Linked DNA regions of Lonchura striata. The protein of the gene in region 3 purifies or fractionates together with the protein of the main gene of each other region. This does not show direct contact. Links are inferred from orthologs where the notes say so. Each region holds a gene or a part of one and is shown on either strand. Other genes may lie near its edges.

Region 1 (3,744 bases), on a different chromosome or scaffold from region 3:
CTCCTCCCACAGATCACGTCGTGCCTGGCCGACGTCTTCAACCAGCGCTGCGAGGTGAACCGGCGGGCGTCGGTGAGCGGCTGTGTCATCAACACCTGCGGCTGGGTCAAGAGCTCGGGCTACCAGGCGCTGGTGCACGCCGCCTCCGCCTTCGAGGTGGACGTGGTGGTGGTGCTGGACCAGGAGCGCCTCTACAACGAGCTCAAGCGGGACCTGCCCCACTTTGTGCGCACCGTGCTGCTGCCCAAGTCCGGCGGCGTGGTGGAGCGCTCCAAGGACTTCCGCCGGGAATGCCGGGACGAGCGCATCCGCGAGTACTTCTACGGTTTCCGCGGCTGCTTCTACCCGCACGCCTTCGACGTCAAGTTCTCCGACGTCAAGATCTACAAGGTGGGCGCGCCCACCATCCCGGACTCGTGCCTGCCGCTGGGAATGTCGCAGGAGGACAACCAGCTGAAGCTGGTGCCGGTGACGCCGGGGAGGGACATGGTGCACCACCTGCTGAGCGTCAGCACCGCCGACAGCCCCGACGACAACATCTCCGAGACCAGCGTGGCCGGCTTCATCGTGGTCACCGGTGTGGACCTGGAGCGCCAGGTCTTCACCGTGCTGTCCCCGGCTCCGCGCCCCCTCCCCAAGAACTTCCTGCTCATCATGGACATTCGCTTCATGGACCTCAAGTAGGGGAGGGACGGGATGTGCCCCCCGCCTCCTCCTTCTCCTTCTCCTCCTCTTCCTCCCTGAGCCCCCTCCTTGTCCCCCCAGCGCGGTGTGACCCTTTGGTTTTATACTTTTTGTACAGTTTGCTATTAAATCTGGAAGCCTTTGCCGCTGGTGAGCGTCTGCTGAGGGAGGGGTTCCCGAGGGGAGCGGGGATTGCCGGCCCGGGCTCCCCGCGCGCCGGGCCCGGTCCCGGCCGCCCCCTACGGCGCCCACTGTGGTACGTCCCGCGCACGCGCAGAGGCTCCGGCCGTGGCCCCGCCCACCGCGGCGTGAACGCGCACGCCCGCTCCTCTGCCATGCGCATGCGCGCCGCCGCGGCCGGGGCGGGCCGGCGGGAGGCGGCCAATGGAGGCGCGCGGGGGGGCGCGGTGCGCACGCGCGCGCGTGACGTCCCGCCCGCCGCAGCCGCCGCCGTCCGAGCCCGGAGCCGCCGCCGCGCGCGGCCTCCTGCCGGTGAGTCACGTGGGCCGCGCCGCCCCGCCGGGACCCCGCCGCTCCGGCACCGCCGCCGCCTCCCCGGCCCGACGCTCCCTCGCGCCCCTCGCCGCGGCCCGGCCGCCACCGCCCCCGCCGCGCCGCTGCCCCCGCGGCTCCTCCCGCGCGCGGCTCGGGCCGTGCCCCCTCACGGCGCCGCGGACCCTCCTGCCCGCCGCCCCAGCGGGCACCGACCCCCGCCCGGCCCGCCCCTCTGGCCGCGGCCCCGCTCCGCCGTTCCGCACGGCCGCCTGCCCGCTGGCCGCGGTGCCTCTGCACGGGAGCGCCGCTTCCTCCTGCCCCGGCCGCCGTGCCCGCGGCGCCGCCGGCACCGGGACCTCCTCCTGTGCCGCGGGGAGCCGGGCCGGGGGCTGAGGGAGCGGCGGTGCGGGGCTGGCGGGGAGCGGCGCCCCGCGGGCCGGGGCCGCCCCTGCGCACGGTGCGGGGCGAGCGCACCGGAGCGGGGCTCGTTCCCCGCCTGGAAACCGCCCGGGGCCGGGGAGCGGCCGCAGGGAGCCCCCGGGGACTCGTGCGCTGTCCCGCACCCGGCCTGGCCCCGGTGCCCCCGGGAGCGCCGCCCTGCGCTGCTTTGGGGCACCGGAGCTCGGCCCCTGTGCCGCGGTCCAGGGGAGTTTACAGCACGGCCTCTCTTCACGGCACCGGTACCGGCCCTGCTCCGGCTTTGGGCAGCGCTGGCAGCGGTCCAGCCTGGCCTTTCCTCAGCATTCCCAGATTCCCAAAATCCTGAGCTGTGCCGGTCCCCAGCCTCGGGGTTCCGCCCCCCTCACCGCGCCGACTGGGGAGGGGATCGGCTGCCCTGTGCTCCCCGTGGCTCTGGGAAGTGGTTCCCCCGGATCTGCCGGCTCCCGCCCCGGCACTCGGCTGGATTTGGGCTTCAGGGATTCTCCGCACTAGGGGCTGCTCGGGTTTTTTGGGGTGTGTGAAGTACAGCCAGAGCCTTGTCTCTATCAGAGTGGGAGTTATCTTGGAGCTTCTTTCTGAGCTTAATCCAGTTATCACCGTCCTTCCGCCGGGCCCAGGTGCTGCTTTAGCAGGCATTTATTCCCGTTGGTTCCCGAGGCCGGGAGCCCCGTCTGGCATTGGAGAGGGTGGTGGTTGTGTGGGTCCAAGGGGAGACCTTGAACTCCCCTGCGAGGGGCCTGTTTGGGGACATTCCCACCTGTTGCTGTGCCCGGTGTCTCCTAACACAGTGACAAGAGGCTGGCGCTGTCCTTGCTGCTGTGGGGCCCGTTGGGATGCGGCCTCAATGGATAAGGCATTGTTCCTCCTGCTTTGCCCATAAAATGGGGCTAATCCCCTGTAAACCAGAGGGATGGGCTGGGGAAGGAGGATGGGAGCGGTGTAAGCCCTGGGCAGGAGATAAGCATGGAGTGATTCCAGCCTTCTGGCTGTCTGCAGTGGAATATTTCTCCATGTTCTGTGTTGACCCTTCTGTACATTCACCTGGGAGAAAGGCGGGTGTGCAGGATGCCCCTGGAGCTGAGGGGTGGCCAAACATACATTGCTGTGCATCCTCCTTTGGAATTAAGAGCAGGGAAGTGTCTCCAGACTGCTCTGCTGGGGCAGGTGCTCTGGTTTGGACACAGGGCAGTGACCAGTGGGGATCTCACACTGGCATTGCTCTGGCCACAGTGCCAGGTTTGGGAAAATTTGCACTTCCTCTGATGGATTTTGGAGTGTGAAGTGTTAGCTGGTCGTACAGGACAGGGTGAGCAGAGGGAGCTGCAGAGGGAGGTGGGAGGTCCTTGTTCCCTGGATGCCCCTCACTCATGGTGCCAGGCAGCGAGCTCTGGAATGGCTCTGTGGAATTTTGGGGTGCAGCCAATCAAAACAATGTGGGAACAGGTGAAGCACATCCCATCTCCGTGCAGCTGGGATCTGCCCTGTCTGGGAGTTGCCTCACGTGGAAGGAATTGTTTGTGTGTTTGCCCTGTGCCATGGGAACTCGGCTGGACCGGGGTGGGTCGGGAGCTGCGGATCCCAGCGGGCGGCGCAGGTTTGGGAGCCGGTAACCGGGAGGGAACTCTGTCCTGCCTGTGCCGTGGTGGCAGGAGCCATGGTGGTTGATGCATTTCCTCCTTCCTGGACGGGAGCAGAGTGAGGAGCTGAAGTGAGGGTGGAGGGAATGTTGGGAGTTGGAGACACGTGTGTCCCCATCACAGCAGAGGTGTGGAGCGCCTCATGCTCCAGAAAGGAAAAAGCATGGAGCACCTGTCTACATGTGGGAAGGCTGGAGAGGGGCTGGAGCAGATGAGCAGAGTGGGGTGGGAAGCAGGGAAGGAGGAGCACAGGGCTGGGAGGGGAGGAAAAGGAGGAAATCTGTGAGGCTTTACAGGGCCTTGAACCAAGAAAAGGAGACACAGGCTCAGAGAAATGGAAGGTGGCAGCAGTCGTGCTTGCACTTATCTTGAGGGAGGGGATTTGGAATTAAAAGAAATCCCCAGAAATGGAGATGAAGCAAACAGGAGCAGCTCCCTTGTAAGAGTGGAGGGAAACCCTGGAGAGTGGAGATGTCTGCTCAGGAGG
Region 2 (3,744 bases), on a different chromosome or scaffold from region 3:
GCTGGAGGAAGGGAGGAGCAGTTTTACAGCCATAATCCCACTCTTTGGTGAGGCTGGGACAGGTAAATTCTCCCCGGGGCCGCCTGACCCCGTGGAATGGGAAGCGGGTTTCAGCACGGGCCGGGCTGGGGCTGAGAAGCTGCAGCTGGGGAGGGTGGGGAGGGCTTGAATGTTGTTTCCGTAATACACAGAAAGTTTTTCGCATGTGTTTGTTTGCTTACCTGAGCGCTCACCCGAGAGGTGGGGGTTCCTTTCATCTGGGTGTGTAGTGACCACGCTGTACTTTGCAGACCCAGGGTTATTTTTTTTTTTTTTTTTTTTTTTTTTTTTTTTTTTTTTGTGGGGGAGAAAGGGTGTGCCGGGTTAGATAATCCCATGTTGCAGATTTCTTTATATTTAGATTTGGAGGTGATATGCGATTCATGTAAGGCCACTTCTCAAAGTGTTTCTTTGTGAAATGTTTCTTAAAATGTTTATGGGTTTGCTATTCAAAAACCTAGAAAATTGCAGCACAATTCCATACTGTTTCAACAGTACCTGTGATAAAACTGCTTTATTAAAGTTTCCCAGTGCCATAACATGGTGGTGTTCAGATGTACACCACAGCATCAGGTACACACTGTGCCTCGTGGGAGAAGCATTAACCTGCTCACTGACATACAGGAGTGTATCTGGAAATGGTTTAAAGAACATTTGCTATCAACCCTGACATACACTGATTCCTGAAGATCTTAACAGAAGAAATATTTACAAGTACAAGCTGCTGTACATGTCAGTGAAGAGCTCAGATTGTTTATACTCACCTTTATATCCAGAGCTTCCTATCTCCAGGTTTACAGTAGCATCCTTGTTGAACGGGTTCAAATCTTGGTTTTGGGGCTATTTTATTCTCAGTTCACTTGGGAGAAAAAAACTTCAGATGTGAGAGAAAATATGTGGGTGACCCAGTATTTGAATACAAGTGGATTAAGTTCCCTACTTAGAAAAAATACTTCAAGACGGTTATTTTTTCCTGATTGTAACATTTTCTCTTCTTTCCAAAGGCTTCACTGTCTCTTGCATTTCTCGGTGGTGCCTGATATTAAAAGTGCTGCCAGTGAAGGATTGCTCTCTTTGGAGTGAAGCACAGATCCCCCCAGGTAATCTTTCCTTCAGCAGCCTTCGCTTCCTTCCAAATGCTGTGCTCAGATCGGCTTTGACGCTTGGAGGGCACAGGACTGTAAAACAGCCAACGTGGCTGTGTGACCTGCAGGAGTAATCTGTTCTCAGCTGTGGTCAATTAAATCCAAAGTTTTGTTGTTTTGTTTTTGGTTTTGTTTCTGTTTGGTTTCTTTTTTTTTTAAGGAAGTAAACCCACAAAAACCAAACCTTTTTAATGGCCACTGGCTGTTTTGTCCTTAGTTTAATGCTGCCTTTTGTCAGTTAAACTGCCACTGAGGCTGTTGGCTAATTCAGCATTTTAAGTTGTCCATATTTCTGAGCTGCCTTGCTCAGCATGAAAGTGGGAAGCCTCCTATTTCTTCTTTTTGGGTGGCAAAAATAGTTGGAGCTACATACAATTATTTTAGCAATCTGAGTAGCTAATTAAACCTTTTCTGGTCACGAAAAGGCTTGTGGTTTTTAGATTTCAAATGAGCTTTTATTATTCTAATTATAAGGTTGACTTGATAGAAGTCCTATTTTGTAAAAATAACTGGTAGACTTTGCTGGAGGGAGAAAATTATAATTTTATTTGGAGTTACCCATTTTTCCAAATAGTACTTTGATACTCCAGAAAAAGAAAATCTATTATATAAAATCAACATGTGTACACATGACACATAATACTTATCTATTTATTGGGAAGCAATACTTCGTCCAAAACAGTCATTAATCTGATTAGCTGTGTTTCTAAAAACAGCCTTTGTTCGTATAAACTCCATTCTTCTTCTTTGGACTTCTTAATAGCAGTTAGGTTTAAAAATTTTCCACTTCAGTTGTAAGTGCAGTTTGCTCCATCATATATTATTGAGGAGGGTTCACTGTGGGGGTGAGGGAGAGAGGAAAAGAAATATTTCTCTGTTGAATTGACTCACCATAGGTCAGTAATTTTTGCTAGTTCATGTGCAGTGTTAGAAATATGGTGCAGGCAATTGTCATCTGTAAACCTAGAGAAAAATTATTGTATCCAAAGACAAAAGACAAGAACACTAGGGGTACTGTTAGAAGTTTTTTGGGCAGCTCATTGGCAGCTATCCACCATAGAGGGCTGGCAGGTAATGAAGACATTACAGACTTATAACATGTAAAATCAAAATATGGAGCATGAATACAGAAAGTACTTCAGTCCTTGACGCATATTTTCCCCCACAGGGTACCAGGGTTTATGACTGACTCCCTTGATGAAGCAAATCTCAGACCTGACTTAAATAACTGAGTAAAAAAAAAACCCTGGTTTTGAAGTGCCTAAATTGGTATGTGGCAGCATGGCTGTTCCCTGAGTGGACTGACTATGTGTGATGCTAATAGGTGGCTATATCCTCAAAACCCTTCAGCTTTCCTTTTAAAGGAATGATTATTTCCCTTCCAGCATGTGCAAGGAAAGTGTGTGGCTAAAGGGTAAACCTACAAGTTAAAAAGCAAATAAAAGGAACCTCTGAATAGATTTGGCATGGCATCTCATAATTTTCAGTGAATTTTGTGAGTTCTGAGGACAAAGGATGGCTACCTACCCTTATGGGTTTTGACAGATACATGTGAAAAATAATCTGTTAAGTGTGTGCTCTTAGTGAACCAGATGACTGCCTGCAGTCAGGTTTGCTTTTTTCAGATAAAAAGGAAGAAGATGCATGTCACTGTTTGTCCTCTCCATGAACATGAAAAACCTGGTAGTTATCCTGCAAAAAAGGATAACTATCTGTTTACTGGTACTAAGTTAGCAGACACTTCAGCTGTTGTGTTTTTACACTACAGTTTATCCTGTCCTTACAGCCACAAGGGAAGAGCAGGGAACAGAGATGCCTAAATCACCATGACCTTGTCCTACACTTCATCCAAGTTGCTTAAAGGCACTTTAAGGAAAGTGCAGCCAGCAGCATCAGGAAATCCAGTCCAGCAGCACAGCTGGGAGCACTGTTTGGATGGCTCCTCTCTCTATGTGAGGCCACAGAATTATGAGTTTCATGGGGCTTCAGAGCTTTTGGAGACCATTAGCATGAATTGTAAGAGACACACTAATCCAGCTGAGTTCATTACTGGGTGGGTAGTCTGTGAGTTAGGCTTTTGGTCTTCTCAGTCAGCCAAACCCCAGTTTTCTTTAAGATAATAATATAAAATTCCAGTTGATTTTCAACAAAACCAGCAGTTTCCATATTGAAAGTAATTGGTATTTATCTGGACAACAGTGGAAATAAGGATTTTTAAGAATCATTAGTCTAGTTCACAAGTAGTTAAAATTAGAAGAGTAGAAGAGTTACCTCTCCTTTATGAATCAGCAGGGGTTTCAGACATTTTTAATAGCCTCAGGAGGGCTGCAGCCTCTTGAGTGGCTGTGCAAAAGTGTGTGTCACAGTACCATCAATGTGGTTGCCAAAACATGACTCCTGGAAACTAGGGGATTATTAGGGTTGTTCAAGGTTTATTCTCTTCTCTAGCTCTAGATTTTTCCAAAGGTTTCTTCTCTCTTCTGGTGAGGTATCTGAAGTTTTTCAATTACTTGGTTGTGTTTCTAAGTGGTCAGAAGTACCATGTACTTTGATTAGATTT
Region 3 (3,744 bases):
ATAACCTTGTTGATAGCACAAAAAAAAGAGAAAAAAAACCTGCATTTTTTGGTGCTACTTAGAGCTTCTTTCTGTATTTTTGGGTTTTTAAACATTTTTCTTTTGAAAGCAGCACCCTTTGAAATTCTCAGTTTGTCTGTTGATACACAGATGAAATTCTATTCCTGAATATTTAATGCAAGATAGATATCTCTATTTTCATGTATTCATCATTTTCTTTGTCATGTGGAAGCTTGTGTTCTGAAATACTTTATTTGAGAGCATTACAGAAATGCTGGATGGCCCATACTCAATTTCAAATGCCCTAAATAAAAACTTCTTCAGATCTGGCTTTCCAGAATACCCGTCCCTGCCTAATTCAAACCATACAGGGACGTCTGACTTAGACTCTTTCAAGCCCATAAAATGACACAAATTGGCTTTGCGAGTATATCTCCCACCTTTAGCTATGTCTATAAATTTGATTTGTCCTCTTGCATCTCTACTGCATTAGGTGGCCTGAAAGACTCTGTTTCAAAGTGTCTGTCTGCTCTGAGAGCCACAAGCGTCCATGCTTGGTCAGGCTGGAAAACACTGTGCCCATGAACAGCGAGGGGTCAGTGGCTGCTCAACACCTCGGATTTGCCCATGGCTCTCAGGAAGAGCAGAGTGGCACTGTGTGGCCCCATGGCACCGTCGGCACGAGCACCACAAGCACGAGCACCCCAAGCACGAGCCCCTCCTGAAGGTCGGGTCCCGGAGGATGAGCTCCAGAGGCACAGCCCCAGGACACGGCGCTCGGGGTGAGGCCGTCCCTGCGCTCTCTGCTGCCAGGTTTGCCTTGGCCCGAGGGACCGCTGCTCTCGCTGCCTCGGCAGCCCAGAGCCCTCGGGCAAAGGTTAACGGGCCGCCACCGGACCCCGCGTGCGGCAGCACAGCCAGCTGCGACAAAGCTGCGGGAGCGTCGCTCTGCGCGCAGCGGCTCCGGTTCCTACGAAAAACCATGGAACTGAGGCCCGAGCTGGGAGCGGCGGGCCCGGGACAGGGCCGGGCCCCGGGACAGCCGGCGACTGTGGGCCCGGGCGGTACCAAGTACGCCGGGGGGCCGCCGGGACAGGCGGTGTTGCCGCGGGCCCGGGCGGTACCAAGTACGGCTGGGAGGGAACGGGGGGGGTGTGTCACGTGAGCTGGCCGCGCTTGAAATCAGCCGTACGCCCAATCGGATATGGGTGCTTTTGCACATGCGCGCTCCTGCCGTTCTGCGGGCTCCGAGGCTACACCTGCGCAGTGCCGCGCCTTGTGGCGCCTGGCGGCACTTCCGCCCTCACCCGAGCCCGGCGTCGCCTCGGTGGTTTTGCGACAGCCGTAAGTGCGCGGGGCGGCCGGCGGAGCGGCGGGACCGGACGGGACCGGACGGGACCGGGGCGGCGGCGCAATGAGGCCGCAGCAGGCGCCTGTGTCGGGCAAGGTGTTCATCCAGCGCGACTACAGCGGTGGGACGCGCTGCCAGTTCCAGAGCAAGTTCCCGGCCGAGCTGGAGAACCGGGTGAGGCGGGGCGGACGGGGGCTGGCCCGGGGCTCGCGGCGAGCGCGGCGCACGGAGCCTGCACGCCGGGCGGGACCAGGCCGGGCCTTACGGGCCTGCGCCCAGGTGGCGTTCGCAGGTGCCCTGCCTCGGTCGGAGCTGGTCCCGCGGGTTCCCCGAGGGCCGGGGTAGCATCTCCTGCAGGAATCTGACCGAACCGCTCAGGCGCAGGAGCGGACGTGGTTCCTTCCTCGTGTCCCGGTCCCGGACTCTGGTCAGTCCTGGGGAAGGTGGCTGGTTTGCAGTAGAGCAGAATGTACTCGTTGTGTTTGTGCGAATAGAGTCGGGTCTGTTCTCTCAGGTGATAGCATTGTCCTCTCCCTTGAAATCCTACCCGTCCTGCCCACTCAGAAGCCTCACAAACGCTGTTTCAAGTACTTACGTTTTGGTCAGTGCTATCAGATGTGGGCTCTTAAGCTGACAGTCAAACAAACACGCCTTCCTACCCCATTTTCTTTCGCTCGCTCGGCTTTTCTCTCTTCCTTGTTCCTTTGTTGTGGGTACGTTTGGTCAGCACTGCAGCAGCACCGAGGCACTGAGGGTGTGGAGTGTCCCTCCACGCTCGCCTGTTCATTTTAACCCATCACATCCCTGGGTGTGAATTCCGGTTGTTTCACAGCTGAATTGCACATTAGCTTAGGAGTGTTGCTCTGAATGGTTTTGTGTCCACGTTGTGTTTGACTCGGACTCAGCCTGAGCACAGGAAGGTGTCTGACAAAGAGCTGCAGGTGTGTAACTCTGCGTGCTCCAGGCTGCGGCTCTGAGTGCAGTGCAGATGATCCCTGAGTGGAGGTGGATGTACAAGGCTACTGGTGAGTTCTGCAGTGTGCACCTGACAGCCCCACTTGCTTTTCTTGCAGATTGACAGGCAGCAGTTTGAGGAGACAGTCCGGACACTGAACAACCTCTATGCAGAAGCTGAAAAACTTGGGGGCCAATCTTACCTGGAAGGCTGTCTCGCCTGCCTGACTGCCTACACCATCTTCCTGTGCATGGAGACACACTATGAAAAGGTAAATGCTTGTTTCCCTTTCATCCTGCAGGCAAGAACTTGGGTCCTGGTGGGTTTCCTGTGACTTGCAATGTTCTGGTGCAGATGCTGTATGGATGTAACTCAGGCGTGCTGGTACTGGTCACTTTGGGTCCCATGGGGGGCACCCTGAATCCAGGCAAGTGCCTGCACTGTCGAGCCATCAGAGCAGTTGTGTGTCAGTTCTCACCTTGCCGTAGCTGTGATACTGTTTGAAAGGAAACAGTTGTGACTTCTGTGCTGTTTCATTGCCAGGTTCTAAAGAAAATTGCTAAGTTCATTCAGGAACAGAATGAGAAGATCTATGCTCCTCAGGGCCTTCTGCTGACAGACCCCATTGAAAGAGGATTAAGAGTTGTATCCTTCTCTGGTTTCTGACATTGTCTCCTGCCTTGTGCTCCTCGTTTGTCTCAGTGAGGCACCTCTGCTCATGCTCGATCTGTGATACAGAATGGGTGATTAATCTTGTTGCTTTTTGTTGTGTCCTGGTCCCTAGTCAGGTTTTAGTATGTTAAGGTTTGGTGCGTGCAAAGCCCATAAAGATGTGGAACCCAACCTTTGTGCCTGCCTGGAAAGAGCGCTCAGGATCCTGCCTCTATTCCAGTAATGTCCAGAAATGCTGTTTTTCTGACTGGGGAAAGAAGTGACCATGTTGGTAGGACAGAAATGGATGTGATAACATCAATTTACTTAATGTGCAACCCTCAGCTGAGGTTTTGGTGAAGATCTTGACATACAACATCACTGCAAGCCTGGCACTTGCTCTTGCTTCCAGTATGGCTTATTTCAACCCTTTTTCTTCAGCCGTTGAGCCACACTGAAGACATTTTGTGTGGTTATTGCCTGAAGTTGTAAAGACCTCTCATAGCAAATGGGGAAGTATAATGAGTAACACAGCTTTCTTTGAAAATCTTGAAACCACAGTAACTTGAAACCCAATGCCAATTGAATGTATGATGAGGCTAATTCGTTGAAGTTGGGTTTTCTGTGTCCTTGTCCATGTAGCTCAGAGCTGTCACCTACATGACTTCTTTTTTCTCAGTGTGTTTTTCCATTGTGTATACACCTTCTGGAAAGAAAAAAAAAACAACCAACATTCAATTTGAGTAAAAGCATTTTCAGTTTGGTAGGTGACTTATTAGCAGTATTA

The links.
Region 1: the proteins of GOLGA7 (region 3) and ZDHHC5 purify together in Homo sapiens (co-immunoprecipitation; 3 studies listed by BioGRID and IntAct, with this or other methods). This does not show direct contact. The link is inferred for Lonchura striata from reciprocal best matches to the Homo sapiens genes GOLGA7 and ZDHHC5.
Region 2: the proteins of GOLGA7 (region 3) and CLDND1 purify together in Homo sapiens (affinity purification with mass spectrometry; 3 studies listed by BioGRID and IntAct, counting the BioPlex papers as one, with this or other methods). This does not show direct contact. The link is inferred for Lonchura striata from reciprocal best matches to the Homo sapiens genes GOLGA7 and CLDND1.

The regions. Positions count from the first base shown.
Region 1 is NC_134608.1:53,132,069-53,135,812, reverse strand, and holds the start of ZDHHC5 (palmitoyltransferase ZDHHC5), read left to right. Parts: upstream 1-1,104; 5' UTR 1,105-1,176; intron 1,177-3,744. Other genes in the region: polyribonucleotide 5'-hydroxyl-kinase Clp1, read left to right, coding at 13-684. UniProt on the Homo sapiens protein: Palmitoyltransferase that catalyzes the addition of palmitate onto various protein substrates such as CTNND2, CD36, GSDMD, NLRP3, NOD1, NOD2, STAT3 and S1PR1 thus plays a role in various biological processes including cell adhesion, inflammation, fatty acid uptake, bacterial sensing or cardiac functions.
Region 2 is NC_134604.1:24,184,454-24,188,197, forward strand, and holds the start of CLDND1 (claudin domain-containing protein 1), read left to right. Parts: upstream 1-1,043; 5' UTR 1,044-1,139; intron 1,140-3,744. UniProt on the Homo sapiens protein: Plays a role in negatively regulating the permeability of cells to small molecules.
Region 3 is NC_134634.1:4,769,090-4,772,833, forward strand, and holds the start of GOLGA7 (golgin subfamily A member 7), read left to right. Parts: upstream 1-1,257; 5' UTR 1,258-1,414; coding exon 1,415-1,525; intron 1,526-2,424; coding exon 2,425-2,577; intron 2,578-2,849; coding exon 2,850-2,951; intron 2,952-3,744. UniProt on the Homo sapiens protein: May be involved in protein transport from Golgi to cell surface. The ZDHHC9-GOLGA7 complex is a palmitoyltransferase specific for HRAS and NRAS.